2 linked regions of the Caenorhabditis elegans genome follow. The protein of the gene in region 2 interacts with the protein of the main gene of each other region in a pairwise test. Each region holds a gene or a part of one and is shown on either strand. Other genes may lie near its edges.

What was found.
Region 1: the proteins of tag-120 (region 2) and atf-6 interact in a two-hybrid assay, tested with the Caenorhabditis elegans proteins (one large-scale study listed by BioGRID).

Annotation. Positions count from the first base shown.
Region 1 is NC_003284.9:12,473,619-12,490,622, forward strand, and holds atf-6 (Transcription factor atf-6 homolog), read left to right. Parts: upstream 1-7,329; coding exon 7,330-7,422; intron 7,423-7,478; coding exon 7,479-7,670; intron 7,671-7,962; coding exon 7,963-8,238; intron 8,239-8,286; coding exon 8,287-8,457; intron 8,458-8,507; coding exon 8,508-8,684; intron 8,685-8,732; coding exon 8,733-8,972; intron 8,973-9,018; coding exon 9,019-9,104; intron 9,105-9,153; coding exon 9,154-9,384; intron 9,385-9,616; coding exon 9,617-9,833; intron 9,834-10,567; coding exon 10,568-10,654; 3' UTR 10,655-11,286; downstream 11,287-17,004. Other genes in the region: myo-2 (Myosin-2), read left to right, coding at 1-139, 186-336, 384-674, 860-1,141, 1,188-1,328; F45E6.1 (Serpentine Receptor, class Z), read right to left, coding at 2,041-2,304, 2,983-3,129, 3,174-3,264, 3,317-3,446, 3,491-3,638, 3,692-3,823; tbc-13 (TBC1 domain family member 13), read left to right, coding at 11,436-11,729, 14,276-14,506, 14,755-14,826, 14,991-15,152, 15,326-15,389, 15,722-15,813, 15,941-16,038, 16,088-16,184 and 1 more. UniProt on the Caenorhabditis elegans protein: Transcription factor. Plays a role in the unfolded protein response (UPR), perhaps mainly during constitutive endoplasmic reticulum (ER) stress, by activating transcription of genes involved in the UPR.
Region 2 is NC_003283.11:9,696,227-9,711,567, forward strand, and holds tag-120 (Transmembrane BAX inhibitor motif-containing protein 4), read right to left. Parts: upstream 13,589-15,341; 5' UTR 13,581-13,588; coding exon 13,513-13,580; intron 12,937-13,512; coding exon 12,879-12,936; intron 12,827-12,878; coding exon 12,732-12,826; intron 12,681-12,731; coding exon 12,590-12,680; intron 12,054-12,589; coding exon 11,631-12,053; 3' UTR 11,545-11,630; downstream 1-11,544. Other genes in the region: Protein her-1, read left to right, coding at 903-1,045, 1,095-1,207, 4,546-4,703, 5,213-5,326; xbx-6 (Protein lifeguard 1-like), read left to right, coding at 9,134-9,242, 9,575-9,747, 9,797-9,891, 9,937-10,027, 10,084-10,223, 10,517-10,792, 10,862-10,868; F40F9.10 (tRNA(Phe) (4-demethylwyosine(37)-C(7)) aminocarboxypropyltransferase), read right to left, coding at 15,320-15,341.

The sequences.
Region 1 (17,004 bases), on a different chromosome or scaffold from region 2:
AAGCTACTTTGGACTCCGAGACCAAGGCCAAGTCAGAGCTTTTCCGTGTCAAGAAGAAGTTGGAAGCCGATATCAACGAGCTGGAGATCGCCCTCGACCATGCGAACAAAGCGAACGAAGATGCCCAGAAGAATATCAGGTAATTTATAAGTTTTTTTTTTGTGTACACCAACTTTTTCATTCAGACGCTACTTGGACCAAATCCGCGAGCTTCAACAAACCGTGGATGAGGAACAAAAGAGACGCGAAGAATTCCGTGAGCACCTTTTGGCTGCCGAGAGAAAACTCGCTGTTGCCAAACAGGAGCAAGAAGAGCTTATTGTTAAGCTTGAGGCTGTAAGAATTTTGTTTCGGAAAATCCCCTTGTATGTGATTTTTTTCAGCTTGAGCGTGCCCGTCGTGTTGTCGAAAGCTCGGTGAAGGAACATCAAGAGCATAACAACGAACTCAACTCCCAAAATGTTGCCCTCGCTGCTGCCAAGAGCCAACTCGACAACGAAATTGCCCTTCTCAACAGCGACATCGCTGAGGCCCACACTGAACTTTCCGCATCCGAAGACCGTGGACGTCGTGCTGCCAGCGACGCCGCCAAACTTGCTGAGGACCTCCGCCACGAGCAAGAGCAATCTCAACAACTTGAGAGATTCAAGAAACAACTTGAAAGCGCTGTCAAGGTATGTTCGCTTTAAGAATTCGCAGTTTTTTGGCCGTTCAGTGTAAAAGCGATATTTGTTTGTTTTAGAGTGTGCATCTTTTCCCACCGTCGCAACTACTTATCCTTTTGCGCGTCACAGATTTAAAGATTGTGTAAATAGAAAAAAAACGATCAGTTATATCTTTCATCCAATCCATCTTACAGGATCTCCAAGAGCGTGCCGACGCCGCTGAGGCAGCTGTCATGAAGGGAGGAGCCAAGGCAATCCAGAAGGCTGAGCAACGTCTGAAAGCCTTCCAGAGTGACTTGGAAACCGAGAGCCGTCGCGCCGGAGAAGCATCCAAGACCCTTGCTCGTGCTGACCGCAAGGTCCGCGAGTTCGAGTTCCAGGTTGCTGAGGACAAGAAGAACTACGATAAGCTCCAAGAATTAGTTGAGAAACTCACAGCCAAGCTCAAGCTCCAGAAGAAGCAACTCGAGGAAGCTGTATGTTTCATAGTCGATAAAATTTCAATTGTAAATATTATTTCAGGAGGAGCAAGCTAACAGCCATCTTAGCAAGTACAGAACCGTCCAACTTTCCCTTGAAACCGCTGAAGAGAGAGCCGATTCCGCTGAGCAATGTCTTGTCAGAATCCGAAGCCGAACACGCGCCAACGCCGAGCAAAAGTAGATCAACTGCTCTAATTCCATCTCGTTTCTCTCTTTTCTTTCAATCTCTTTACCCGTTTCTCTTCCCCTACGTCCCCCAAACCTACCACTGCACAGTAACACATACACATTCAACGTGTCACAATAAAAGCCCATCAACACCTTCTCTGTTGTTTTTTTTCTTCAAATGCATTTTTTTCACTTTGTTTAATAATTTTTACGCATCGGATTTGTAGGATAGTGGAAATTTGTCCTTCAATGCTTCAATTGATTCGACACTTCTCAATATTTTTGATCAATAAACCATTGATTTTCTATTTAGAAGAAGATCACTGTAAATAACACCAAAAACATCACAGCAAAAAAACTCCCACTCAATTATATTACTGTTTTTATTGAAACTAGAATAAATTTGAAAATCTTCAAAGCATACACAATTAAAAAAAACGAAAAAAGAAAAAGTCCCGTTGATTCTCAAACTTAAATTTTTAAACTTGTCTGAACCATGTTGTAAGTTTGTAAAAGTTTCCCAGTTGTCCTCGAACAGTTAACCAGGGAGATCCTGTCAGCTAGTTTAATATTATTTTCAGCTTTGAAACTAACGTTTCGTGTCACAAGAATATCAAAAAATAAACTTTATTAAAAATATCTAATAATGGTTGAACCACATATTTTACAAGAAAAATTCAAACATATTTACACTTTGTGATTTTAATGCGTTCATAAAAAAAATATCAAATCCTTGTTGGCACCATACTGACAACATGAGACATTGTTGCAGGAGACCTTTCCGCTGTATAAACTTCTCCTCCAATAATTCGTGTGCCGCGTTGACATGTTAAGATAGCAACAGCCACTTTTCGTTTGTTGAGACTACCAATGATCAAAAATATAGGTGTCATGAATGATATAGAAAACGTCATGAACGACTGGAATGTGATGAGATTGATGTTCGTTTGTCCACTTGTCAACACATAAAACTTTGCAACTGTGAAGACCTGCAAATTTAGCATTTGTTTGTGTTGCCTGGTTTAGTTTCTAATCTATCACAGTGCGTGTCTGATTTAGAAATGAACTCAGTTTCAGCTGCAGACTACGACACAATCACAAACTGAGCAACATTTTGATAACTATCTGGAAATAGAAAACAGTTTTTAGAGCTAGTAAAAAAATTGAAATTGGCATAAGTTTTCTCTAATAAAGCAGGTAAAACTATAATTCAAGTCGAGTGTAAACCTATAAAAAATGCGGACTGTTTTTCTAAAGTCAAAGGTATATTGAAGAGAACCTAACAAAAAACTGTAAATTATTTAAAAAAAATTGTAAAAACACAATAAAACTTTCAGATTTCTAAACGTTTGATGTCATTGTTAATGAAACAAATTTGAAATTTGATAGAGCGCATTTTTAAATAAAATATGAAATGAGCATCTCGTATGTACAAAGAACACCTTCCATTTATTGACTTTAATTAATTTTTCAACATTGCAGAAATTATGAATTTAGCTAAGGCAAAGCCCTAAGAAAAAACAAAGCAGGTTTCTGGACGAACAATTCCGCAACATTTTTTGGCCATTAGAAAGATAATTTTCAGCATGATAAAAAACATTCCTCTTCTAGGTATCATAATTATGCACGTCAAAACATAAATTGCTCGGTAAGACTAAAAAACTGACCATTAGTAAAATAGCAATTGGCACTGTTTGCAGCAATACAGTAACGTGCGCAGACATCCCCGATCTGGATCTTTTATCGATGTGGCGTATTATTATGATGCTCAGCAAAAGCATAATAAGAGACAAAACCATCGTGATCATCTCAAGCTAAAAACTATCATAGTATTCAGAGTATATCGAAAAATTCTCACCCATGGAATCTTGTTTGAAGCAAATATTTTGTTAATTGCAGAAATGATTGCAACAAAGTACAACATTGTCATGTTGAATGTCAATCTGGCTCTGCAAAGTTTAGATATGTTAAATTTTTTTGACATGTTTCATCAGTAATTACCCCGTCATCAGCTTTCTTCCGAGTTTTTCAATAGTAAGAAGCATGAATCTTTGCATGGAGGAAATGAAGATAAGGTAGTAAAATATTGTTGCAACAATTAGAGATCCATGAATTAGTAAATTTGTGAACACTGTAAACAATTTCTGTACATTTAAATTTATAACTTTAGCTTACGCTTGTATAAAAAACGAATCCATTCAGATTTTCCAGTGAACCCGTCGGTTACTCTTATTATCAAAAGTATCATCAAAACTATAAACGATCCAACAATGTGAACAGAGCTTAATGTCACCAGATTGAAATGAATCGCATAATATGATCTCTAAAAGTGCACCTTATTAAAAATGTACTAACGCAGAATAATGCTAAACTCACTTTGTCGTCAGTCCTTTTTGTCATGTAGTACAACCAGACGACTAAAACAAATGGTACAACACCAATACATGAAACTGTGAAATCTAATTCATGCTCAGCATCTTGCTGAGCACTTGAGTTGCTAGAACTCATATCCAAGAGTGATTAAACTACCAAGGGAGTGTAAGAACCACAAATGTTTTGTGATTGTCAAATATCAGATTGCAATTTTGGAGCAAAGACTTGATCAGCCTGTTACGTTTCAAAGCCTTGTTCAAATACATCTACTTATTCTAGATTTCACCTGTCCCGTTTTGTAAGGACATTTGACGTAGTAAGTTAAAAGGTTATTGAAAATTAATGCTAGTGCATAAAAATATCTAATGAACATATTGATAGCAAGGCAATGCAAAAACGCGAAGGTTCTAATTACCGAAATTCAGAAAGGTCCTGAACAATGAAGACAGACATTCTTTCATACATTTTTATTTGCGTTGGTGCAATAGAAATATCAGAACATGCTCTTTGCATTTAATGTTTTCTGTCAAACGGATAAAAATTATTAAAAAAAAAAATCTCGCCAATGCAACATTTTGAAGAGAATCTAAGTGAAACCAAAATAAGAAGTGATAATCGAAACTATGTTTGTTTCTAATGCACAGTCTTAACCAAAAAACACATTTTCATGTAAAAAAAAACTATAATTCGCAAACCGTTTTAAAGTGATATGAAGTTTTGAACTTGGAGTTTTTGAAACATGACGATTTGTTCGAATCAGCATGGAAGGCTTTCAACTAAATTAAAAAGTGATATAAAGAGCAACAAAAATTTTTATTCCACGGCAATGTTAGATTCAATTGATTGTTTAAAACTGCCTTTTTGCCAACCTATCGGTTGCAACTGTTGGATATAAACTTTTTCGAATATTCTAGTATTTTGTCAGCCGTTAAAAAATGCGTTTTAGAAGTTGAAAACCAATACTTGAAACAAAAACTAATGTAACTAAAACTCTGCAAAAGCTTCTAGAAAACTAAAATAACGTTCATTTTTGACATGGAATTGGAATTATAACATATCTAATTAGAGAGCCGTTACCAGAGATATTAGATTTTTTAAAATGCTAAACATATGAGTGCATTTTTTCAATAAAGCTTTAGACCGATTTTGCCGGAAATTGACTTCTACGATAGATACACATATTACTAGTTTAATCTATTATATTCAACAGTTGTTCAAATTTGTTTGCGTCCCCCCGTTTTCCTGCTTTATTTTCTTTCTCGTTTGCACTAACAATATGAATTGTATGCCCTGTTTCATATGTTATAAATACCCTGTTATGATGAATACACTTGCTGATAACAATAAAATTAACAACGTTACTCTTTAAATATTAACAGAGGAGAGGGTATTCGATAACAAGCACTTTATGTTTCAGGTAGTATCAGAATTGTCCTTTCACGTGTTTTCTATAATGATAGGACGGTTTTATGAAAATATTTTTTAAAAGTATAACCAATTGTTTTCCAGTTTAAGTTTAAATTTTGAGCAACATTCATTTTTCAAAATAATTTTTTCACTTAAAATATTTTTTTAATAGTGAAAACGATGAAGATTTTACAAATGTTTTTCCCCTAAAAAAGGGAAGACATTTTTTTCACAGCAACTCGCGTTATATCCTTCAAGTACTTTTTTTTATTTTTTAACATTTTATTGTAGTAGCTTCACCAGTTATATTATTCCATAGCATCATGTTTAATCACTTTTTATGGTTGAAGCTTCTGAATTTGAAAGGTCATCACTAGCTTTCAATTTAATTTTTTTTATTTCACAAAGCATCGCCCACTTTCCACCCCACACAATTTATTTTATGAATCGCTGCTTGGATTGCCCAAAAGCACACACAAGTGCACATTGGTCCTCGTACATAATTCAATGCCATAGTAACACACTTAGCATCCCCCGGCCGTTCTCGACGACGATTAGTGTAGTCCTAGCCAAAAAGTGTTCACTTGCACTTTTATTTTATTCAAATGAAGTGCGGTTCCATTTGGTGCTACTATGCTACACGTCACGTCGTTTTTTTTCCACTCGTTCTTTTTGTGTATACTAATGCAAAGTGTTTGTTTTTCACTGCGGGGTAAATTTAATCAACAGAGGTTCATATTTCTTGTGTATTGTTTATAAGATCATTCTTGTTGATACTTTTACTTTTGGAACAGTTTTGACAAGAAATGTTAGCTTTTATGTACTAACAAATCAAAGTGTGATGTGAAGAAATACCAGAACTTTCAAAGCCACTTGCAAGAGTATACACAATAAAAGTTTTCGTCGTCGATATTATTTGAAAGTGTTCCTTTCTTGGAAAAAAATTTCTCATGATTTGCTTTTTATTGGTTTGGTTTTCTAGAAGACATTGTTTAATATTTGAAGAAAATTGTCGGAAAAAATACTTGGGGTTCACTAAAAAGTTATTTTTCAAAGTATTTAGAGATTTCTTATTAGTGTAGTTGCGCGGTTATCGAATTTTGTATTTGAAAATTAAATTGTATACATACAAACATTGCAATATCGCCTACCTTACTACCGTACTAATTTTCCATCAAATTGTAGGGGTGTAAGATTAATATAAATTGCAAGAATTATTTTTGTGAAACTGATTTGACGCCAACTAAAAATATGAATGTTTTTCCATTAGGAATTTCAATGGCCATTTTAACTTCGAAAATTGACTTTACCCTAAAAACAAAAAAGTTTACAAAACAAATATTCCACAAAGTATTGCTCGCCTGTCAACAAGTCAATGCTAAACTATTAGGAAACCCAATATTTTCTCTAATACAACTACAGTCACAGGACAATCTATTATATTGTAGAATTTTCTCTGCATATTATTGAAATTTAAAACTTAAATTTGGTTTGGTCTTTTTTTCAAACCCAGTGGATGTTCGTCTGTTGAGCTTTAGAAAAGAAGGCAAACAGTATTAGTCAATGACTGATAAAATTATGCACAACCGAAATAAAAACTAAAGACAAGTAGAGAAAATACAGTATATCATTTTTTTTTCTATGAATTTTTGCTTTAATTAGTGGTTTCTTTATTTGGTTTATAAAATAAGATCGTAAAGTAATATAGCCGCTATCCCTTCCCCGTTTATTACCTTACTACTATACTTTTAGTGACCCACTTTCCATTTTTTGTCCGTCTTCCATTTTCGCTTGCCCACTCCTCTTCCTCCGCAACAAAAATTCTGCGACAGAACAAACACTGCGAGAGCGCCACCTCGTCCTCATCTACTGTGGTGGCCTTCTCACTGTCACTGTGCCGGGGACTCTTTTTCTCTGACTCTGCCCCCCCCCCCCTTGCCTCTCCGGTCGTTTGACCGGCGTACTGGCAGTGTGCCAGCCGGGGTCGTGTGCAAACGCGCTCCGTTGATATTTCATTGGATGCTATCCTTAATCGTCTTGCCCTCCTTTTTTCATGGTCACTTCTTTCATCTACCTGATTTTCGTTTCTTGCTATTGAGATATATCTAAGATTTTTTTTTTAATCTTACCAGTTTCTAAAAATGTGATTGAGTTTTAGGATTATTTGTCTTTAGAAACCTATTCTTCTCTTTTTTTTCTCTAACACTGTATTTCAAAAACTTTTTAAATTTCAGATGAACTTTGACAATACGGTTCATGAATCAAACTTTGATGATCTCCTGCATAACCCAAATTTTCCGCCGCAATTTGACCAGCTAGAGTTGGACGTGAGTTTTCTTTCTGTGTCTTGAAAGGACCACTAATACAAAATATCGATTTTCAGAGCCTACTTTACGGGACCGACGAATCACAAGAATCGACCTCTTCCTCTTCGTTTGGTTTCAGTGATCAGAATGCTGGATTTCGCTCAAGAGACGGCGGGAGTTTAGGAGATTCTTCGTCGGATAGCTCTCCACCGTTGAGTTGTGCAAACTTCACAGAAAATGACCAGGAAATGTGGGATTTTGGCTTTCAAGTAAGTTGTTTTTTTTCGCACAAAACTCGTTAAAAATGTTTGTCGAAACGGATCGTTTACACTCTATTGTTTAATGGAAATGTGTTTTATTTTAAACAACCTTACATGCAAGTTGTTGTGTGTATGATGTTTGCTCCTACCATGAAAACTTAGCACGAAGACAAAATTTTCCTACAGAATTACTTTACTTTTAATTTCGGGGTACGGATACTACACAAAATCTTGTTCAAAATTTAATATCAACTACAAAATCCTAATCTATCAATATCATACTTAGTCGTTTGTTTTGCAGAGTCGCAGTCCATTCGAGAATTTTGAGCAACAATTTGGCTCTCCATATCAGGACGACGAAGTGATTGCCGAGCCCACCAATGAATTCATGAACGCAAGATACCTCAGAGAAGAACCGGCCAAGCATTTGCCCATGCAACAAAAACGAATTATCACAATTCTCCCCAAACAGTCACAGCCTGTGAAACGTATTGTCAGCAGACCAATCCAGAAAGTATACCGCGTCAAGGAATCACCCGGCAGTCAGCAACAAACATACCGAGTTGTTCAGCCCTTGGTGAGCGATTGAACGTCAAGTAAAATAGTTTATTCGAATTTTTTTCAGATGCCATCTCCTTCACAAGCTACGCAACGCCAAATCAAGCAAATGTATTACAATGAGCCGGTTCAAGAAATTCATATGCAACCAAAAAGTGGTCCGCTGGTTCGACAAGTGTCCGAAGAGCCAAGATACGTTCCAATTGCTCCGACAGTAGATATCAAAGCAGAACCACAAGTGAGCTTATCTTCAAAACATATTTAAATTCATGACTTTACAATTTCCAGGTTTTTACTTCCGAGCAAAATCGAAAAATTCGGAACCGAATGTACGCCCAAGCCTCTCGCATGCGCAAGAAGGAAGCCGATGAACATATGAAAATGAACCTTCAGGAACTGCTTCAAGAAAACGAGATTCTAAGAACTGAGAATGCCGCTTTGAAGCAACGCCTTGCGTTTTTTGAAGTAGTTCTGAACTCATAAAAATTTTAACATTTTAAAATACATTTTCAGCACGAAGAGCCAGTTGTCGAAGTTCCACAACCCTTTGGAAGAAATCAGAAGAAAAAAAGAATTATTGCTGCTGGTTCAGTACTAATGATGTTCGGACTTTTTGCAGTCATCTCTCCATTTAATGTCGATAACAATTTGAATATAAACAATCAAATCATGGCAATTTCCAACGAAACTTCTATGGTTGCTCGCCACGGAAGAGTCATCACGTATGAAGATAGTGCTCCTGTTGCAAAAATTGTATGTGTACGAGCTTAATATTTAAAAATCTCTTATAAAAGTTTAGCCTACTCAACAACCAATCCACAACTATCCGAACTCCACTCAAAATGATTGTGATATGTACAAACTAAACGCCACAGAGACAATAAGGTGAGGGACTTGAAAATGAACAATTTTTATAACTGACTACTCTTTTCAGAGTAAACAACGACATTGAGCGCTGGGTACAAGTACATTCATTTGATAATGTTCCAATGAAGTTTTCGGGAGGACTATTAAATAAGGAAGCAATGCGAAAGTTCAACTACGCACAGAAAGTAAAACCAGCCTCAGTTTATGGACCACAGACATTGGCGGTTCAAAAGAAATCAGAGCAAGCGGCGCTCAGATCTCGGGAACGTACATGGAAGCAGTTGGATCTACTGAAGACGTAAGTAGACTTTTTCTTTAATTTAAAATTCATAATGACACGAATGGGCACACTACCGACGTAATCGAACTTCGAGTTCATGTTTTACTTTGTTCACTTTGTATTGAGATGACATGACCGTAATTGCAAACGAAGAAGTCGGACCAATTGAAAATTATTCAAATGCATTTGCAATTCCAGCAGCAAACAACAAAACTATTTCAATAACATGTAAATAATAATTAATTTAAAGCGGAAACAATATTCAACTGGATAACGAGAAAATTCAACGTAAACGACAAGATATTGACAAAATCGCTTCAATTGTTCGCCAAAAGGGAGATACACTGTACATTATGACACTTCAAGACTACGTGCTTCTGCCTTCATTGATTAAAGGAGCAAACTCGGTTCCCAAACTATCGTTGCTCCTGCCTAGTGTTCCAATGAATGGAACTCTCCAAGATCAGGTAACTAGGGAGTTCAAAAAAATATGATTAGTAAAAAAAAATATTTTTGTTAAACTGTAGGCATTGATTTCACAACTGTCAAATTTGCCTTCAGTATCAGAAAAAATATATTAATTGCAAAATTCTCATGTCTCTGTAAGTTTCCTGACGTTCAATGCGAGTTATTTTTTACAGTGACTTTAATTTGAGATTTAGAAATGAATTGATCACAGCCATTGGTTGATTGTAGTTTTTTTAAAATCAATTTGAACGTTCAAGTAGTAGGAGCAGTTATATTTGTGTAGATATTATCAAAAATGTCACTAGTGTTACGTTGCATCGTTATTAGAAAGAGAGACTTTGAAATTTTTTTTTTGATTTTTGGATTAACGGTTTCTTTCATTCTATGGATCTATAGAGTATTAACTGTAACTTTATATGTTTAATTTTGAATTGCCAGAATTTTGACAAAAAAAATTACCAAAGTAGAGCTCTAAAACTGTTGAATAATTCCAAGCTTTTACAAGTTGCAGTTAATAAAATAAAATTTATTCAACCAGTTTAAAAATTGATTTTACAACTCTGAGATATCATGTAGGAATATTGCTTGTGCTTGCCTGCGTGAGATTTAACGGATAGGTTTTACTCGGCATGTGTTCAACAGCTGCAATTTTTAAACCAGTTTCGTAATATGTGCAGCTTTTAGCTAGATTCATATGTAGGTTCACTTCAGTTTTATTGAGTTCAATTTTCAGTATACTCTTCTTCGAGTTGATTGTGAAGTGACAGGGACTGGCCAATTGACACTTTCCAACAAGCAACTTTCATATTTGATGCCGTGATACTGATATTGATCAACAACTACGCTTATTATATTCCCACTTTTCTCAATTTCCGTGCCTTTTTTATTCACCCACTTTACCTTTCTTCTTTTGATTCGTTTTTATCAATCTTTTATGTTAAATATTCATTATGCATTTCTGAAATCGCCGGTCACCGATCAACCTCTTTTTGTTGTACCCGTTTTCGCTGCGTCTCTCACTTTACATCAATCATATTCCGGTCTTTTTCGATTGTCTTTATTTCTCTCAAACTCTCTTATCTCAGTCTTATTCCTATTCCAACACATATGTATTGTATATTAATTACCATTCGTTTTCTCATCATTTTACCAGTTTTTCAGAATTTTATCAACCACAAAACTCCATACAAAATATGCCAGTCATTGTCTCACCAAGTTCTAGTTGAAATCACCCAATTCTCATAACATAGTCATTCAGTTACACCACCATTGATGATATTCATCTTTCATGATATGTTTTATTTTGAAAGTCACTTTATTAATCTCGGGGTCTTAATTTATATAGTTTGATGTTCCTTTTTCTATTCAAATTCTAATTATAAGTGCCTAATTATCTGGGATTTTTGCATTTTTCTTGTCAATAATTATCTAAATGAAGGGTTCAAAATATTAGTTTCAAACGAAAAATTGGGTTCTATGTTTACCTGCACTGGTTTTTCTACTAGCTTTGTTATTTTCCGTTTGTTTCTACCTATGTTGTCTTTTCTCCTCCTTTCTTTTTTTTTTAAAACCTTTTTCACCTTCTACCTCTACCTTTCAGAATGACGTCTCGATATATGGAACGTCTTGCAAAAATCGAGGAGGTACTTCTCATTGCAAATAAGAAAATCGATATTAACGAATTGAGAGCCGGGTGTAGCTACGGAGTTCCCGAATCTCTGCGACCGTTGGCATGGCGTTTGCTTCTGCACTATCTCCCATTGGAGCGTCACAAGTGGCAAACATTTTTGGCCGAACAGAGAGATAACTACGATCAGATGATTGAGCAGATAATCGTGGAGCCGGGAACAGCGTCTTTGCAGCAAAGTGCTGCTCAAAATCAGGATAATGATCATGTATGTTTTGTTGTTTCGTTAAAGTTTAAAGAATTCAAGTTAAATAAAAGAAAGAAATAATGTAGACATCCCATAGATTCTTGTATTCAAATATGTTATTCCCCAAAAAGTTGTTTTTAAAGGCAAATACACTTTTGAAATTACATGACAAACAAGATTTCAAAAAAAAACTTCAAATTGAAAGAATTTATACAAAATTTGAGTTTTCAACCTGTCTATAAAAATTACTTGTTTGAATCCTACAATGTCTAGATACAATTTATTAAAATAGACTCAAAACTTGAAAATTATAGACACAGTTTTTCTAAAATTGTAATATGTATGTGAGGACTAAGTGAACTTTTCGACTGTAAACAATGTAATTTTCAAACAATTTTTCCATCAAACTTCATTATTTTGGCAATGTTAAAGTGGTTTCAAAATTTTCTATTAGCACTACTCCACAGTTAAAATTTTATGGATGGTGTGTCAAATCAATCCAGTTAAAACATAACCTTTTTACTCTATCAGTTTGCCGAATGATGTAATATACTTTATTAGCTACGATATAACATTATTTTTTTAAAGCATTGAAATTGACACAAGCAAAACTGAATAACAAGTTTTTAATCCATAAAAAGAGATATGACTTCTAGAAATAAAGATTAATTTTTTGAAAATTGAATTATCTATCACCAACCTATCCGGGACTTTCCACTCAGTAGTTCACAAGTTAGAGATGTTTCATTTTTCTCATTTTGAGGTGCGCTACAGTAATCGCATGGGTTAAGTTCATCTGGTATTTCTTTCTGACCAATTTGCGAAACTATTTGGATTGTTGACTGTTCTGAACTTAGTTTCCAAACTAGTATTTATTATTATATTTATTTTGATTTGAATGTAAAAAAATTGATACTCGAATTAACAACGAAAAACGTTTGCTTTTAAAGTTGTAAGTCCATTTTGTTTAGCCAAGAACCCTTTTTTTTTTCTAAATTTCCATGATCCCGTTTTTTAGAAATTCTTTAGATTCAAAACGATATCAATATTTCGAAAAGGTGCATCCCTCGTTAGTTCAAAAAGAGAAAAAAAAACAAAACTTGTGTTCTGTTTTTTGCGTAGGTGCGACACAAAACTTTATGACTCTAAGATACGTGGGAACTTTCGAATATCAAGTGCGGAAACGTTTTTTCTTCTCAGAACCTTTAATCTACTCCCTCAGTTCGGTTTTCCCAAGCGCTCCGAAAGTGTAGGTGGCGGATAAGAAATTAAACATCACAATTTATACTATTATAGGAACAGCTCAAAATAGAAAGCTTAGTATGCCACCTAAGAGCAAGAACCATATATGAGCTCAAAAAGAAATATGTTGAATAATTAAGGATTTGTAGCTTTTAATCTTATTTCAAAGAGATTATCTATACTTTTTTTACGCATACAACTAAATACATTACACACCAATACAAGTTAATGAAATTAAGAATAGATACATATTTGTTCATGATTCATCAAGTTGAAAATATGATGCATATCTCATATCTGTATATCAGTTTAAAAAATACAATATCCCATACAAATTAAAAATAAACTATGTACAAAATTGCATTTTTATTTTTAACAATTTGATTTATTAGTTGTTTCATTCTTCTTATAATTTGTTTGCAAGATATGAACAATGACTGCAAATTTCATATATCGAATTCTCCCAGACCATTTAGAATTTGAATGGATAGAATCTTCAATTCTATCACTAACATTTAATTGATCATTCCTATGATGTTTAAAAGTGTGCACTCAACAAATCCATTTTTGATATTTTATTCATTTTTAATTGGTAAGAGAGAAATAGAACAATATTAAATCTCCTAAAACTTGAGCACTCTAAAAAATGAATGAAGAATTAAAAAGCGCTAATCTAACACTAAAACAATTTTTGTACTTGAGATATGGCGTGTATTTTTGCGTAATCGTTCGAATGGACAAAATTGAATGGAATGTAAAGGATATTTCATCTCAAGTTCTTATACTGATCAAAAGATAACTACTTGAGATTATTTAAATTTGAAAAAGTTCCTCGTTGGGTTCACCATCTGTTTATACCGGTTTCGTATGCTGAGTGACACATTTTGTTACTTTGTTCCTTACGCGCCCTTCACAAATCAAGTCCATGTGAAATGAGTTGACCTGCCGCCACCATTTTTGTCGGGACAGCAAACCCATCTCAAGTGGTGCAGGAATGCATAGACAACGTTTTTCCTCATAGCTAATTCAGACAAAAAAGCGACACAAGACATATCTACGTCATCTGAGCGTCGGGTTCCGTAGTTTGATCAAACGATCGTTAATGGAGGCGGGTGACGATATGTGAATTTGAGCAGGAACCCACGTGTAGTTAAAGGATGTTCGAGAGCACTTTTGACGGATTAAAATTTCCAATTATTTTGGGCTCAACAATGACAAATCTGAGAGAAATGATTCGAAAAAAAGGGATTAAAATAGATACGTCAACCAACTATTTCAATTCATTCTATCAGAAAGATGACTAATCAAATTGCAAACATTTTCAGCCACTCTCCGACCATCCAACCAGTGACTGGCAAGCATTCTTCCAAGACAACAAAGTTCTTTCACAAATCGACAAAGACGTTCGCCGACTGTATCCAGAAATACAATTTTTCCAACTGTTATCCAGATTTCCACATCAGCATGGAATGAAGTATCCCCTTTCTCGCAGAGTCATTAATCATCAGGAACTGCATTCACAAGAGTTTGGTGCAAATCGCGACGGAATAGTTGGAGTGAGTCTCTGCGATGTTTTGTTTGTGCCCTGTGTTGATAAATGCTAAGAAAAAGTGTAGATTAGCAGAAACTATTTTACTATCAAAAATTGGATTATAAAAAAAGTTTGCTCTTTTCATGAATGTAATCGTGTTGTTGTTAGAGCAAAAAAGCTGAAAAGATCAAAAAGATATCTGCGCGATGTTTGTATTATTGCAAAATCATCATATAGACGCAAAATATTAACTGAATAATTATCAAATTACAGTGTGTCAAGACAAACATTGCAAAACAAAGTCAAGACGAGAATCAGGCGCCCAATTCAGAATTCCACTGGCATGTAAGGATTTTTGCATGTTTCATTTTAGGGTTCTATTGGCAAAAGTAATTATAGATTTTCAGCAATTTTTTGAGTATTCCTACAAGTTTTCACAAGAGTCTTTAGTCTTTAGAAAAAATTGTTTCAATTTAATGCCAAACATACTAAATCAATTTATTATTAAGATTGTTGAGCGAATCCTCTTCATCTACGCCAAACTCAACCCCGGAGTTCAATACGTGCAAGGAATGAATGAGCTGGTTGCCCCAATCTACTACGTGTTCGCCAATGATGCTGACGATGAATGGGCCGCATATGCTGAAGCGGACACTTTTTTTTGCTTTCAGGTGAAACCCCATTTTTATTCAAACTTTAATAGTGTGCTTTAAGCTTTAGCCAGTGTAAGATCAAGAAGTATTTTTGTATTAGCTTTGTGCGCAGACGTTGGTTGTTGACTTAGCAATTTGATTAGTAGCTTAAATTTATTGAACTTTTTATTAAATTTGTTATTTTTTTACAGCAACTCATGAGTGAAGTCAAGGACAACTTCATTAAAAAGCTCGACGATAGTAACTGTGGAATTGGTATGTGAAAACGATGTTAGACAAGGAAGTGTAACGTTTTCGAAATGCTCCCCTTTCATTCAGCTTTAAATCTTATCATAGGATTGAGCAGACAAGCCAATAATTCAATGACTGATCATAAACACACGCTTGCAAATGTGAGAACATTTCCTAAAGTTTTGAGATTCTTTGTGCTTTGAACTTTAGCTTCTCATGAATGTTTTTTTCAGTGATTATTTTTTTTGCGCAAAAAAGTTTCGCACAAACATCGATAACATCAGTAGTTCTCAAGAAATGGAGGCACACACAAAACACAAATGAATCATGCGTTGCAACAAAATCTTTTCTTTTAGAATCGAGCATGTCAGCTTTTCATAATTTGATCTCAACTTTTGATACGGAGCTTCACAAGCATCTCACACTGACACTGGAAATTAAACCACAGGTAAACTGAAGCTAGAATTTCATGATTAAAAAATGGGTTGGAAATTTTTCCTTGCTTTTTGAAACTATTATACTAACTATACCAATAAAACAATATATCTTGAACTACAAAATCATTAAATTTACAGTTCTACGCTTTCCGCTGGCTTTCGTTGCTTCTCAGCCAGGAGTTTCCACTTCCAGACGTCATCACCCTTTGGGATGCTCTTTTCTCCGATCCTCAACGGTAAAACTTAACATTGTTTCACCATGTTCATGGTTGCTCTTCTTTGTAGATTTGCCCTTCTTCAGTACGTGTGCCTTGCGATGATGGAATTGAAACGCGAGCCTCTGATCAACGGAGACTTCCCATTTTGTGTGCGGCTTCTACAGGTAAATAAAATATTCTCACATCAAAACACAAAATCGCGTTCTCAGTTTTCAGTCGACCTTCATTATATGTAAAAGAAAACTTACAGAAAGTTTTTTTTTCTGAAAATTTTAAGAAATATTTTTGTTTTGATCTCTTTTAATCTCTATTCTATGCTCTTTTCGTTTTCACATTATCATTTAAGATTTTAGAACATTAAAACTTGAAAAGTTCCTGGGAATTCGTGCGATCTTTGCAACATTATGTTTTGTATCCTAATATGAAAAGTCCGGCTTCGCGCTCTCACACAGAGTTCAACACAAATATCAAGTATCACATCTTGATATCTAGAGCAAAAACACGAGACAAGTAGGAAAAGGTGGCTTGATGTTTCTAAATTGAGAGCAAAGTTTATGACAGACTGGGAAACATCAGGTTTATTGGGTTTTTTTTTTCAAAGGAACATATCTTTAAAATGACGCAACGCCTAGCTAAATGTGTCTCACACTTGATGGATAAGATGGCAAGTGACGAATGCGACATTCAACTAGGTTTTTATAGCTTAATTTAAGGTAGGTACTCGAAACTTAAATAGTGCGTGTTTTGAAACATTCATAATCTGTTTTTGTGGTTCTGATAACATGCTTTCAGCTTTTATAACCCCTTTTTACGTAATCAGAAAATGCTTCGAATATACTCTTATGCTCAAAGGTCTATCTAATCCGCAGTTATTTTGTGAAGCAACTAAGCCGACAGATCACATATATTAAAATATAATCACAAGAAAAAAGATTGCAGAGACTCAAATCAAGTCAAACTTTTAAATTTCAGAACTATCCCGAC
Region 2 (15,341 bases):
TGTCTCATGAGTATTTTGGTAGTTCAATCTGACAATTAACAAATTGTTATGCAGGATATTCGCAAATTTGGCAATCCTTATCATATCAATTACCGTCAAAGGTGGAACATACCATGTTTGAAACGAAATGAAGTCAATTGGAACATATAGAACGGTTACAGTATGCTCGATAAAGTATAATTTGATAAACTTTATTTTGTAAAACTATTGTATCAATCATCTACGGCATTAATCCTCAACCTTGAAAATAGATATGAAAGTAAAGTTGACAAGGCACAAAATTGGAACATAGTGATCGAAAATAAAGATATCTATTAATTGGAAATTGTTCGGCGAGGGGCTCTTCGAAACATTTACTGGGGTTTTATGAAAGTTTCTTCTAAAAAACATAATTTAAGATTGAGAGGTGCTCTCAATCAATTCAATATTTTCAAAGAAATAATCATATTCTGTGAAATCAACACTTAAATTATACATTTTTTCATATCTTTTAAAAAATGGAGTTGTATTTACAGGATTTAATGAGATTGTTGAGAGTGACGTCACTGACGAGCAGATATGTTTCAAACATGAACTAATTAGTTTCTAGTATAGTTTTGCCTAGTTTCTTATATATTAAGCAGAAACAACGGACCAGTTCTTCAGCTTCTGAGAGTAGATTATATCTTAGGAGCATACATGAGCACTGTATGTACCTTCTTTGTCTAACTTTCTTTGAGTATCTAAGTCTCTTCAGGTTCTATATCCATCATTCAACCAAATGACACTGCAGGGATGCCTATCTCCTGACTGAACCCACCAGTCGTCTCTTGCTCATATTCCTCCTACCTTCTGCTTCTATTTTCTCAGCGCATCTTGTCCACCTACAGTAGTAAATCTCCTCCCTTTCCTTACGTTGCATTATGAGATATCTCCCAATTTTTGTGTTTCTCGGATCATTTGGCTATACGGAAACTACATTAACAAAGGAACTTATCAAAGATGCAGCTGAGAAATGCTGTACAAGAAACCGTCAAGAATGTTGCATTGAAATTATGAAATTTGGGTGAACCGCTTTTACGAGCACGAACAATGCGATAATCGGTATAATTTAGAACCCCAATTCGATGTGGTTATGACAGGGATCCGAAGCTACCCGGATATGTCTACAAATGTCTTCAAAATGTGTTGTTTGCAAAAGAACCAAAGAAAAAGATTAACTTGGATGGTGAGCGTTTTTTTTTCAGGTAAAATTCTCCTCACAAGCCAAGATATCAAGTTTTGTTTATTCTTAAGAAATATAGGAAATGACTAATACGGTATGTACAAGTTAGTTTTAACTTGAGGAAAATCGAGAAACCGGTGGCATAGCGCCCGCCCGTGAGGTCATTGATTGGCCGGAGGCAGAAAGACCACACGCATTGAAAAGTCACAATATCTTTTCTGCCTCTTTCATTCGTATACTCTTTGGAAATTTTCAATAATTTTGAACATTTTTTTTTTAATATTCTTGCCTCAAATTGTTTTGAAAAAAATCAAAGTAAATCATCAGAGGCTTCTCTGATTTCAAAATAATAGTTAGAACGTAAGTAAAGAGAGAGCGTTTGAAATTTTTCATGAGTAAGATTATTATTACTACTTATCTTTAACTATTTGAAATTTAAAAATGGCATGCAATGTATGGGAGAAATATTTGAAGAAAGCGCCCAAGACTTCAAGAATATCTGAATTTGAGGAGTTATATCACAAAAACTGAGCCTGCAACCTATACTAAAAAGTATACCAAAACAAAGATAAAATTAAAGTCTTTGTTTCTGAGTATTTATTATCATTTGAAAAATTATTTAATAACACGTAAAACGTCTTCAAACTAACCCCAATTTAGAATGTTCGCGCTCTCTCTTGCTGAAATCAATTATAACTATGATAGAATGATTATTCGAATAATTCATAAGGGCTATTATTTTTTCACTTTAAATTATAAAACGAATACTTTACCAATTTTGAAACAAAGTTTCTGCCAATGTGAAATTAAACTGGAAATTGAAGTTTCACCGCTAAGTTCGAAAGCAAATGTTGGGCATTTCCATAATCCGAGTTACAGCAGAACGAGATGTTATCATATAGTAAAAAAATTGTTCAAACATTTTTCGATATTTTAGAAATTAGAAAAAATGCAGTACGATGACGTAGACAATGGTAAGAGGAGGAAGATAGTGCGTATGTGTGCGCAGAGAGGTACAAGGCTTCGGGCATTGGGCAGTCGCCACCATACGCTCGATCGATATATTCAAAGTCGGTCAGGCTTTTAACAATTTGAAGCTTACTGATATCAGTAAATTTGTGATAAATGTCAAGGATACCGTGTCTTTGAAGCAACTTAAGCTCTCTATAGTTTCCTGATTTGATTTCACTTCAACATACTACATTTCCAGTTATTGATAACACTTATCAACTAGCATTTAAACATTTTCTCATATCTATAATAATGTTTGATTTCCTGTAAATAGTTTCCTCTTCCATTTCGAATTGTAATATTTCCCTCAATAACATTGGAACCTTGTTCAACTAAATAGGGATCACTTTGACAACACCTAAAGCATCTACAAAAAATTTTTGGTAATGTAACAACCAAGTTTTCTAAAAGAATTTGACATGCTCTATTTGTTAGAAAAACTTTTTGATTATGTTTCAGGCTCAGTTTTTGAGATATTCAACTCTAAAGTTGCAACTTGTTCTAGGTGGTCCGTTCAATTGTCCTAGGGTTGTGCAGGCAATTGGTATTGCGCAGGGAGAATAGACGGACCCTTGTGTCTTGCGTACCACCTGTCATCATGTTTCGAGAGTAGATATTCTTCAAACCCTCAAACTATTTAGAAATATATTTTTTAGCCTCAAAAAGTTACGTTTTTCGTTCAGAATTCTATTAGGGCTACGTTTTAACATAAGTTTTAAAATAGGCTTCTTTATTTGTTTTTGAGATATTCATGGCCAAAAAAAAACTTTACAGTATTGAATTTGGCTCTAATATTTTTCAATACTTGTTCTCTACAATGTTAAAAAAAAATTAATTTCGCCTACTCATTTGATCATTTAATAGATTTATGAAAACATAAAAATTATGATAACAATGTCTTTGAATTCTCTGATAATGTTCATAATTTGTTTTGATCTTTCTCGTGTTATCTCTCCAAGATAAAAGAGTGTTCTACTGCGAGCACTGATACCATATCTTTGCATGTTTATCCTTTTATCAGTTGACTCACTCTTTTGTTAGGTGTATTGATTAGATGGGAGACTCCCCTGCAACAATTGTCCTACAGGAGCAGAGCAGTTGCTTTTTTTCTTTTGACATCTTGCATTTTTCGTTAGAAAGAAAATATTTAAGTGCCGCCGGGAGCAATCTGTTTTATTTACAAATATATCAGAATGCACGGCATCAGCTAATAAATATTGAATAAGTATTTTCTTGTTCTCACCCCTGTACAGTTTGCTTTTCTATTCCTCATTACACCTCCCAATCCAGGTGTGCTTGGTCCTTCATCTTATTAGATCTGCCATACGGTATAGGAATTACGATCTACAGTCGTCATAAAAGAGTCCGCAATACCGTCATGTGTGTCGAGTTGCAACAAAAGAGTATATGGGAAATGAGAGACTACGGTAAATGAGAGATACCGTAGACGAGATATAATGTAAGAGAGTGGTAGATCAAATGAGATGAAAAACGCGTCGATTAGGTCCATCCAGGAGAAACTAGATTGCGTAGAGCAAACATAGCTGTTTTGACGGGAACAATGTTTTTTGAGACTACAAATATCATAGCTTCAGCTACATCTGAGGTTTTCAAATTTTTCTCGAATAGCTGATAAAGTGAAACTTCATAATGAAGGTAGATATCAGTGCTCAAATAATGTATACCGTATTCCCCGTTATTGTATTAGACCTTATTGTTCAATTTTACCAGCTTATATTTTAGTTAGCGTTTGTTCTATTCAAATATTGCCAATTGAGAAACTATTATTTCTTTTTCAATTGCTTGCAGTTAAAATTTATTGATATCTTTAAAATGAGTTGATAGTGAGATATAAAGCTTTCAATTAAAATAATGTGGTGCAATACTATTAGAGAAAATACAGTAATCTTACTAAACTAAATGCACGCGTGATTAAATCCAAAAAGTACAGAACTTAATTGGTTTATTTAGGTGCGTTCCCCTGAGCAGAAATTGTCTTAATATAAATTAATTTGAAAATCTGAAATTCGAGAAATTTCTACTTTCTGTAAAGTTGTGAATATTCACTAATTTTATTGATAATATGAGGTTTATAGAAAAACTTACAAATGCATTTGACTCACAGAATTGCTATAATTTTACGATTTCCCAGAAGAGACTTTCCCAAAAGAAATCGTTATTTTTGAGGGACAAATTGTCTTAATTATCGATCTATTATTTGCCTCTTCACACGTAAAACATGCCAACACCTGTCTCTTTTGACTCCGCCTCTCTGATTGCCCCGCCCATTTGCCCATCCCACGCCCTAATCTCATATTGTCTTTATTCAGACTCCGTGTGCTGCTCCGTGTTTGGCAACGACCAAAACGATTCTGGAAGAAGATGTGAGAATCGTTGCAAGAACCTCATGACCAGCCCTTCCATCGACGCTGCCACACGTCTGGACAGCATCAAAAGTTGCTCGCTTCTGGATAATGTACTGTATAAAGTGAGTTTTTGTTAACACAGAATTTCAGTTCGCCTATTCTAGTTAGACAAACGGGTAAATTGAAAATATTCGGTGCAATCTGTCTTATGGTTTTTTCAGCTCCTGCCTATTTCAGTACGTAGTCCTAATTTTTCCAGTTTTAAAGAAAGGATCCCTAGTTGACCAAAGCCAAGTTTAAAAATATTAAATTATCTCCAACTCTGTAAAAACGGCTGCGATTTGCAGACTTTTTCTTGGTCCAGGCAAACAATTTTGGAGTTCGTCCCATCCATTCCCTCGTCTATAAAATTCATCCTAAAACGGAGAAAATTAAAAAAAAAATTCAATTGGCAAGCGGAAAATCCGATAGTGGATAGATATCACCCCAAAAATTGTTCGCCTAGGTTGAGATACATTTTTGGAGCAGTGCGTCAGTCCAGGAACCACGTTTTTCAAAGATATCTCATTCGATATTCTAATCGTTCAATTCGAGTTAATCAAGTGTGTCATAAAACAAATTTATTTTTCAGTGTTTTGAGAAATGCCGGAGCCTCCGTAAAGATGGTATCAAAATTGAAGTGCTCCAATTCGAAGAATACTGCAATGCAACGTTTATCCAAAAGCGAACTTTCCGAGGAGTCTGAATCTGGGCTCATTAGCCTAAAACATCCCTAATCCGCCGTTGTCATTATGGCACTCTCCATCATGAGTGGTCCAATTTTTTCTTTTCTTTCTAAACCTTTTTATTTTATTTTTTGTAACACCTCTATGTCTACCTCTTAATCAAAGCTTTGAGCTTTACTCACTTTGAGTTATATTTTTAATCTTGTGTTCTCCTTATGTTGAAGAAAATTTTCGATACGCAACTTGTCATATTGTTGTATATATTTTTAATAGAATTTTTTGAAATGTCCTATTCTTATTGATTTCTTCTTAACATTCTCTTCAAGAATGTTTTCGGATGCGCTCAGATGTCATGAAGGCGCACTACGGTGCGGTCCTGATTTTATTTATTTTTTTTTTCATAAAAAATATATCTTCTCTTGTTGGTTTCTCCTAAAGTTGTCAAATATGAATATTCAAGTACTTTCTACGATCTTTTTTATTGAATAAATTGTTTTATCAACGCACAGAACCCATACGACATAATCAACAAAAAATGATAAGAAAGTGATTTTCGAACTACAAATTTTATCAATTTTTTTTCAATTCTCTGCTTTCTAACAAATTCTAAATTTTATTTGTAATTTTAGTTATTCAAACTGCAAAACGAGCAAAACTTTATTTCTTATCCGTTTTGAAAGATTAATAAACTAAATGTAATGTTGTTTCTCATATTCTGCTTGTTATTTTAAACTGAATAATGCTTTAGAGCTAGCAAGGAAAAATCAATCAATTCATTCGAAATTGATAAAATGGCCATTAAGGTTTTTTTTTAAATTTTATGTGTTAACACATGTGTTGGGTTTCATCATAAACTTGTACTTGGTGGAATTCAAACTATATAAGTTTAGATTTTTTGTAAATCAACACAAGTTACCAAAACTGTTCAGGCGTGATCCGAGTTTGAAGTATGGATTCTGCTAACTTAAGTTTAGAATACAATATAAGAATAAAGTTAAGAAAACAATTAACTCAAGAAATGCCGATGTTCTTAAAAGCAATTTTCAATGTTCAAGCCATAGAATTTAAGTACTTTTTTATTGACTCTCTGCTAAAAACCAAAAATGCAAAAACTTAACTGCCAAAATATGATTCTGATCTAGTTGTTTTCGGAATGACTACATTAAGCTCAAAAAATGCAATGTGAGAAAACCAAATGTCATTCTGAACTATTTTCAGATGTTCCAAACGTTTAATATCTACGGCTATACAATTGAAACTTATATTCAACTGACTACAAAGATGCAACTCGCTGAATTTTGAAACTCTCCATGATCTTAACAGAATTTTCTCGTATGACTAAGTAGAACAGAATAAAACAGAAATCTCACAAGTTATAGGGCACCTTCACTTACTGAAAAGCTGAAAAAAAAAGCGAAAAGAACTGTTCATGTTTGCCTGACGAATGACTATTAACAAATAAGCTTTTTTTCTCTTCTTCTTTCGACTCTCTTGCTCACATTTATCTTTGTTTAAATTTCAGGGCATTTGTCGTAATTCCACGAAATTTCAGATTTCAGCTGAAAAAAGTATTAGTGCTCCAGCAGGTGAATAAATTTATAAGAAACATGTTTATATTATTTTATTTTCAGAACAGAGCAATGAACAGTTTCATCCTAATCAGGCCGAAGGCCCACTGTTACAGAATAATGGTAAGTTTGGAATTAAAAACGCAAACAGTTTCTTTGTGAATATTAAACTTAGCCTATTATTAGTTACGATAGAAGTCACAACATACAGTAACCAATCCTGTTTTTTCTCCTTTATCTTCCTAGATTACGTAAATATGAAATAGATTAGATTTAAAAAACTTCCAATTTGTTCGATGAAACGGTCCATAATCGTTTATAAATATTTTAAAAATCGAACCGAACGGCACACGCGTGTTGTTATTTTTATATATATAACCTAAAAAATAGAACTTTGTAATATTTTTACGTGTTCTTTTTCAAACTTTATCTGAACTGAAATGAAAGTTTATTTCAATTTCAGCGAAATGTATTGGAACGGGAATTCCAACAAATATCGTTTTTATATCAAGCTTGATAATGGTAGGGGATTTCAAAAGCTTTTTTATTTCCGAAAACGAAAAAACAAACTACTTTTAATATATTTGAACCAGTTTCAAGCCTACTGTACGGCTTTCAAGGGAGACGCACGATAGCGCGCGATTGGGTGTCGCCCCGCGAACTATTTTTTGACGCATGCGCCTTTAAGTGTACTGTAGAAATTCTGCGATGAATTTTCACGCTTTTTTCGATTTCTCTCTTCATTTCCCTTCTATTGTCTTCCGTAGGGAATCAAAATCATACAAAGTTTTTAAAAAATTAATAAAATTTTGGATTTTGTAATCTGTTTTATCGTCTGGAATTTTTTTAAGCTTAGAAAAACTTAGTAAATTATGTAAAAGTTTCGAGATTGTTAGCATTTAACTTATTGATCATCTCACTATTGTTGATGAAATTTTTTGTTCAAACTTTTGATGTTTTCACTTTCTCCTCATCTCTTCCGTTTTTCTACAGAGATTTCTTGATCTCTCAACGGTGACTCAACATTTTTCATTCTATACAACTGTTCCCTCACTTTAAAAATTTCTATATCTCTATGATATAGTTTTTCTTTCGATTCATGTTCCAGTGTTAGATGTGAAACACTGCTTTTAAGCTTCACTGCTTTTTCAAAAGAGTAGTGGTCTTCGAGCATCAACACATGCGTTTCTCTTGTTTCTCTCCTTTGGCCGAGGTCGTTGTATTTTTTGTTTGACCTGGCGAGTAAAAGAGAGACAACGTTTCATTGCTTTCTCTGTTCCTGTTTTTCATAGATTATCACGTCGTTCTTGTTCCGACAATACAAAAAAGTCACCGTTCAAACTAAAACCTACATTTTTGAATAGATGCTCTATATTGAGAACTACTTAAAACTCTTGTTTTCTGGTCGACATCGATTTTTTTTTGACGAGGCAAACCCCGACCATTGCAAACAATAGAGACGCAGATATCCAAAGCCTTGGTCAGTTTACTGCGTCTCTTCTCTCAACGAGATCTCATCACAATTGCCCGATGCTGCATTCTCGTGAAAGTGAAGAAGACGTGCCATTCTGTTGCGAAATCACACGTCTTCTTCTTCCACTGCATTTTGGTTTTTCTACTTATTTGAAGTCTAGGCATGAATGAGAAAGATAATACCCGTCTCAGTTTTCGAACGAAGAACGTTGAGCGTATTTACTTTCCTATCGACAAATATGAGTACATTCGTTCTTTCTGCTCGAACGCTAAAAATTCGTGCTCTAGCAACACCAGAAAGTACCGGAGTTTGAGTTATTTGTAACTGCATCTGAAAATCTTTCTATAATATTTTGTCTTCTTAAAAATCCGAGCACCAGTATAAAACACACAATTTTAATACTAAATCTGTAGAAGCTCATCTTTTTAAACTAAAATATGACAAATTCTTCATTCCTGAAAACAATCAAATTATTTTCATCTTCTCAACCATTCTAATCCTTCAATCTAGATATGACTTTCCCTCTAAGCCTTAAAATAATCTTATTTCTTCCTATAACTGACGCACATTTCTCTAGCTACTAGAATTTGTCTGAAAACAGACGAGAAATTCCCCTCGTGAGCTGGAGAACCATGTTTCCATGGAAACTCGAGTAATGTGATAAACAACTGGGACTTTTTAAATTGCCATTTCCATGAAATTCTATACTTTTTTGCTTCTATCTCACTTGTTGACTACATTTTATTCTTGTATTTTCGTTTCAATAATATTATTTAATTCCAGATATGTCGTACAATCAACAGCCATACAACCCGGCTTATCAGAATCCCTACCCCAATCAAGGCCCTCCGCCACCAGGATTCAATACAGGCGACGGACAAAATCAAAATCAAGGTGAGAGATTTTTTAAAAACAAAATAAAAAAGTCAGCGATATCAGAAGTTAGACATAAATTAAGAATATTTTAACTTCCAAAATAAATAAGTAAAGAAGATATCGAAACTTTTAGCAACTAGCTCTTCGATCAATAAATTTGATCATTTTTTAATTGTATTTTTGTAATGTGACGTCATTAATCGAAATACCAAAGGAAACCCGAAAAAAAATCGACAAAATTTGTTAATGCGCAAGGTGGATTTTTTTCAAAAATTTTACATTGAAACGTATTAAATTATATTTTCACAACTAACTGTTTTAAAACGATTCAAAACCTCAATATTCTTAAGGTGGAGCCTATTTCTCACCACCGCCACCAATGCACGGAGCTATGTTCAATCAGATGGAAAATGGGCAACACGGTGGTGGAGACAATCCAGATGGAAAGTATTCATTCCAATTTTCTGATAAGACTGTCCGCGCTGCTTTCGTTCGAAAAGTTTTCAGTTTGGTCTTTATCATGGTAAGTAGTACTTTCAAAAAGTTTTAAATCTATTTTCAAAAAATTTTAGCTTTGCATCGTTGCCGCAGTCACTGTTATCCCGTGGGTTCATGATGATACGATGAGAATGGTCCGCAGAAATTCGGCTCTCTACCTTGGGTCCTAGTATGTACATAAATTGAAATCTTGATTAATATTTAATATTTCCAGTGTAATCTTCTTCGTTACCTACTTGTCATTGGTTTGCTGTGAAGGAGTTCGTCGTAAATTCCCAGTTAATTTGATTGTCACTGGAATCTTCGTAAGTTCATTTTAATATAACAAGTTTCCCTTTATCAATCCAAAAATCGTTTTCAGACTCTAGCAACTTCAGTTATGACCATGGTCATTTCAGCTCATCATGATGCTAACGTGGTTCTTCTGGCATTGGCGATCTGCATTGGATGTACGTTCTCCATTGTCATTGTCGCCTCTCAGACGAAATTCGATTTGACTGCGTAAGTTTTTTTTTAAATCAAATCTTTTTTTCAAATGCTGTGCTAAACCTGCAATAAGCGGATTTATACTCTAACAAGCACCAATTTTCTGAAATTTAAGGTACCTAGGTTATTTAGTCGAATTTGAAACTAATTTTTAATATATTAAATATGTTCTGACAAGATGTACGCAGATTAATTTTTGTAAATAGCAAAATTGGCAAAAACTAAACTTAGTTCAGAAATTAGAATGATGACGAATAATTTATAACCACTGATCTTCAAAAAATATATCCGAAATACTAAATTTTCAGCCACATGGGATATATCTTAATCATCTCAATGTGCTTCATGTTCTTCGGACTTGTTGTCGTGATCTGCTCAATGTTCTTCAAGATCAAGTTCTTGATGATGGTATATGCTCTCGGTGGTGCTCTTATCATGATGCTCTACCTCTTCCTCGACGTTCAAATGCTGATGGGAGGAAAGAAATACGAAATCTCACCAGAAGAATATATTTTTGCTTCTGTTCAAATCTTCATTGACATTGTCCAGATGTTCTGGTTCCTTCTCAGTTTGTTCGGATCCAGGTAAGAAATTCATTGGGAAACTTTGAAATTTAGCTAGACATTCTCAATAAACCCTCTGGTTATTTCCAGAAACTGAATCTTCTATTTCTCTATCACATTTCGTGTGGTAAGGCGGTTGAGTTTGTGGTATTTCAAAAGGCACGTTTACTTTTTAGATTTTTTTGTGTCATTGTTCACTAACGCTGTATTAGTAACATTGTGCCAATTTAAATGAATGTGTATTATCGAAAAAATACGATCGCACAAATTTCTCATAATTTTTTTTTGATCTACGCTGTTGACTAGGCTCCTCCCCCAATCTTGTTGCCGCTGTTATTTTGTTGTGGCTGTCTTGTCGAAGGAAGGGGAGGAGCCTAGTCAACAGGGTAGATCAAAAATAAATTATGAGAAATTTGTGCGATCGTATTTTTTCGATAATATGTGAATCATTTGGTTGATAAAAGCAACAATTTTCAGTTTCTATGTTGTGAAAAGCTTTTTATCAACTTGTAAACCTAATTATTGTATTTTTCAGCGACTAAACAACGGCCTTCACCCGACTTCATCGATTCTCGATTCTTCAATTCCTTCTTCTTTTTCTGTTCTATACTAGATTCCATGCCTAATTTACACACTGGTAGTTCACTTTGTTCTTCTTTGCCTGTCCCCTGCTCTGTCCCTCACCCCGAAAAATTTCTAACAAAAAGAAACGAAAACTGCTGTTGTTTAAGATGTCTCGTTCGCTACTTTCCCGCTTAAACTCGTAATTATTTGTGAAATGAAACTTAATATATATTTTTGAATGAAATAAAACATGTATTTACAGCAAACAATAAAACATATAAAAATGTGAAAAGATCTAACGACCTCTTCCAAAGATGTTGAGAAGCATCAGGAAGATATTCAGAATGTCCAAAAAGATTTCCATCGCAGCAAAAATGTAATCTTCTGGTGATAATTCATATTTACGACCACCCATCAGAAGTTGTACATCAATAGCCAAATAGAACATCATTAAAAGAGCAGCAAGTCCAGAATAAACGGAATAAAGGAATTGCCAATTGAATGCCAAAGTGAAGATGAGTGCAAAGATTCCAAATGAGAAAAGAACCATTGAAAGCATGAAAGCGATTCCCATTTTGCTCGTCAAATCTGATTTCGTTTTCATCGAGAAAATAATGACTGATCCACTGCATACTGTGGTGATACATAGACAAATTAAAACTGATTGAACATTATAACAAGCAGTAACAAACATTGTCATGACTGCTGCCGAGAGAGTCTGAAATATACAATAATTTTAGATTTCCTTTTACGAAAATTAACACATGTTTCCAGCAATCCTACCGTAGCCTACCCTATCTCAAAGCACATTAAGAATTCTGAAATATCCAGAAAGAAATTGAAGTTATCTTGTCAAGAATGTTCATGGTTATACATATATTTTAAAGAAAAAAAACTATTGTCCACGAGGTGTCAGAGTGTCCCATGTCGGTTTGATCTACGTAGATCTACAAGAATTGCGGGAATTTAAACGCAGACTTCTCAACTGATTTCGCATCATTAAGAGCGTGCTGACGTCACATTTTTGGGAAACAATTCCCGCATTTTTGTAGATCAAGCCGTTATGGGACAGCCTGACACCACGTGATTTTAGTGGTTAAAATTAGGAAAATAGAATTTAAAGCGGCCCGGGACTCTCTAAAATAATGATTGCGTTTTTGGAATGTGATAGAACCTTACAATACGTTTTGTAACGTTTTTATTTTCTTCCTACTAAAAACCACTTTTTAAAAACCTTTTTACTTAAAAACTTACGAAAATAGTGAGAAGAATGATATTGACTGGAAATTGCCTTCTCAAATTACCACAGCAAGACAACGCAATTGCAACAACCAAAAATACAATTCTGAAATTTATATTATCATTCGAAGATAATCAAAACTCTATTGTAACTCACATCGCAATGAAATATACCCAAAAGTTGTTCTTAACCCAATCCTGAAACGGTTCTGATACCATAGGAATTACACAGAACGCTGCTGTGATGGCAAACTGAAAATGTGAAAAGTACAGGTTTGTTGAAAGTCATTTTGGATAAACTAACCATAATTGTGACAAGCATAAACACTTTTCTGACGAAGGCCGCCCGGACTGTTTGACTTCTGAAAATCAAAAAGTTTAAGATCTCCAAGTTTATTCAAAATTTTGTAACGTATGTGTTCGTTAATGTCTTTGTTTTTGGGAAAAAGAGAGGCACAGTCTTCCAAGGTATGTAGGCACGCCTAACATATACCTATATACTTAGAAGATAACCAAAAGTTTGCTTAAACACGTGAAAACTCGGAATTTAGGAGAAACTTTCTGGAAAAAAACATTAAAAGCTGCTGATTGCCAGCAAGTTTAAAAAAAAAATTGCCAATTTTTAACAGGAAGTTGCCCCTAAATTACTCTAATCAAATTATTTGATTTTTTAAATGTTTAACTAGGAAATTAGATGTTTTTCGTGTACATTGGCAGGTAGGTACGCATATAGGTACATAGTAGGAATAGGTCGCCTATAAAGCGATCATGCCTGTTTGTGCTTGTTTTTTCAGAAGCCTAAAACCATGTTTGGTCTGGAAAAGCCCAGTTATTTTGTATAAACAAAATAAACAATTAAGTGAATCAAAAAATATTAAAAAAATGTTTGCAACAATTTCGTCTAGGGTAACCTTCAGACTTTAAAAAATAATACTTACGAGAAATGCAAGTTGTACTTTCCATCTGGATCATCTTGAGCTGTTGTGGCTCCATATCCTTGCTCCATTCTGTTAACTGAAATGAACTTGAAATCAATAAATTAATAATCAGCAGCCTCAAAAAGTGGAGTGAGCGATTGGCAGTCCAAAATTTTTTGCCGATGACTAACAATCACGAGAGATGAAGAGACAGAAAGAGACTGCAAACGTTTATTTGCACATTGGAAATAGAAAATAGTGATGTGGAAATAAGAGTAAAAGAGAATGGAAATTCGAGAGCATTCCTGAATATAGGTACTTACTGAAGTATGTTACTTGATAGGGTATTATCTGAGTTCATGTGAAAATTGTTCTGAAGCAGTTATTAAACTAAAAATTTATCATTGATCATGATAATGTATGATAAATTCAGTTCAAAATTAAGGTAAACATCATTGACCCTGGGAAAAATGGAAAAAAGTATTGAGAAACTGTGAGCTCCGCGGAGCACAAATATTTGATTGATGATAGAGAGTTAGAAAATAATTCCCACATTTTTTATCATATAAAAAAGTTTGAAATTAGTGCATGCTTAAATATCTTGAAATTTAAGTTACTAAAACATACTTAAATATAGATTAAGCTTTCAGAAGGTATTCAAGTTGTAATTTTCCTTCAGAACAATTAATTTTTTAACCTTGAAAACAGTTGTTAAAGTTAGCAATGATTTCATAATATATCTAGAAAAAACCAAAAGAGAATGAAAAAAAGAGAAGAGAGAAAAGTAATGCAAAAACATGGAGTTGTTGACAAAAGGCTCGTTGATGTTTCTCTTCTGAATAACTACACCGGGCATAGTCACACGATTGAAAATGGAAAAATGAAATAGAATACGCAGTGACCGCCTTTTTTCATGTATGTTAATGTGAGTCATGAACTGGGTTTGATGAATTTTTCAGTTGCTACATGCTTTCTAGAATACCTAAATTTGAAATTACGTTGGTATATTAGCACTGGAAAATAACATTCATCAATTTTTTTTTAACTTTTAAAGTTGCTTAAAGCAAATTTAATAAATCTTTTGAAATCCTCTTATAAAAAGCAATAACTTAGGAATAAGTTCAACAAAGTGAGTTACCTGAAAGTCTTGCATTCCCTTAACTCTTCTTTGACAGCTCTTATCTTACGGTGCCCTTACTAAAAATATATTTAACAGTAAAAATACGTCCCAATTATTATTCCATATTTTTATAGTTAAACAATTTTTGATAAAGCCAAAACAATTCGAGATATGAACTGTCGAAGTAAAGCTGGTTTGCTTACGGTGAAAGACCATAGGAATCGCGCGCATGTTCTACTGACGTGTAATCTTCTGATCCGATACTCAAAAGGTTTGCACATTCAACAGTTCAACGATTAAAAGATGAAATTCAAGTACATTAAAATTTCAAATCAATATTCCAAAAGTGTTTAAAGCAATATTGAATTTTACCTTTGAAAGACACCAAAACGTGGTTTACCGTTTAAAAGGATAAATAATGAAATCGTTGATTATACAATGAAGTAATAGAAGAAATAGGTTCTATATGCAGTTTGAATGTACTGATAAGACGCCCCACATGACTCACAGCGATGTACCGTGCACCAACTTATTTGAATATGACTTGTGATGACGAAACGAGATTAGTTTCTGTGTAGTGGTGTTGCGAAATGGTTCTGACTCAATTATCTAATCAAACAATTTTCATTGGTATCATTGGTCCGGTTAATATTTAGATCACAACCCTTGGTAGTAGGTTCAACAAAACAAGAGAAAACAAAACAATTTTCAAGACTTCAAATTTTCAGAA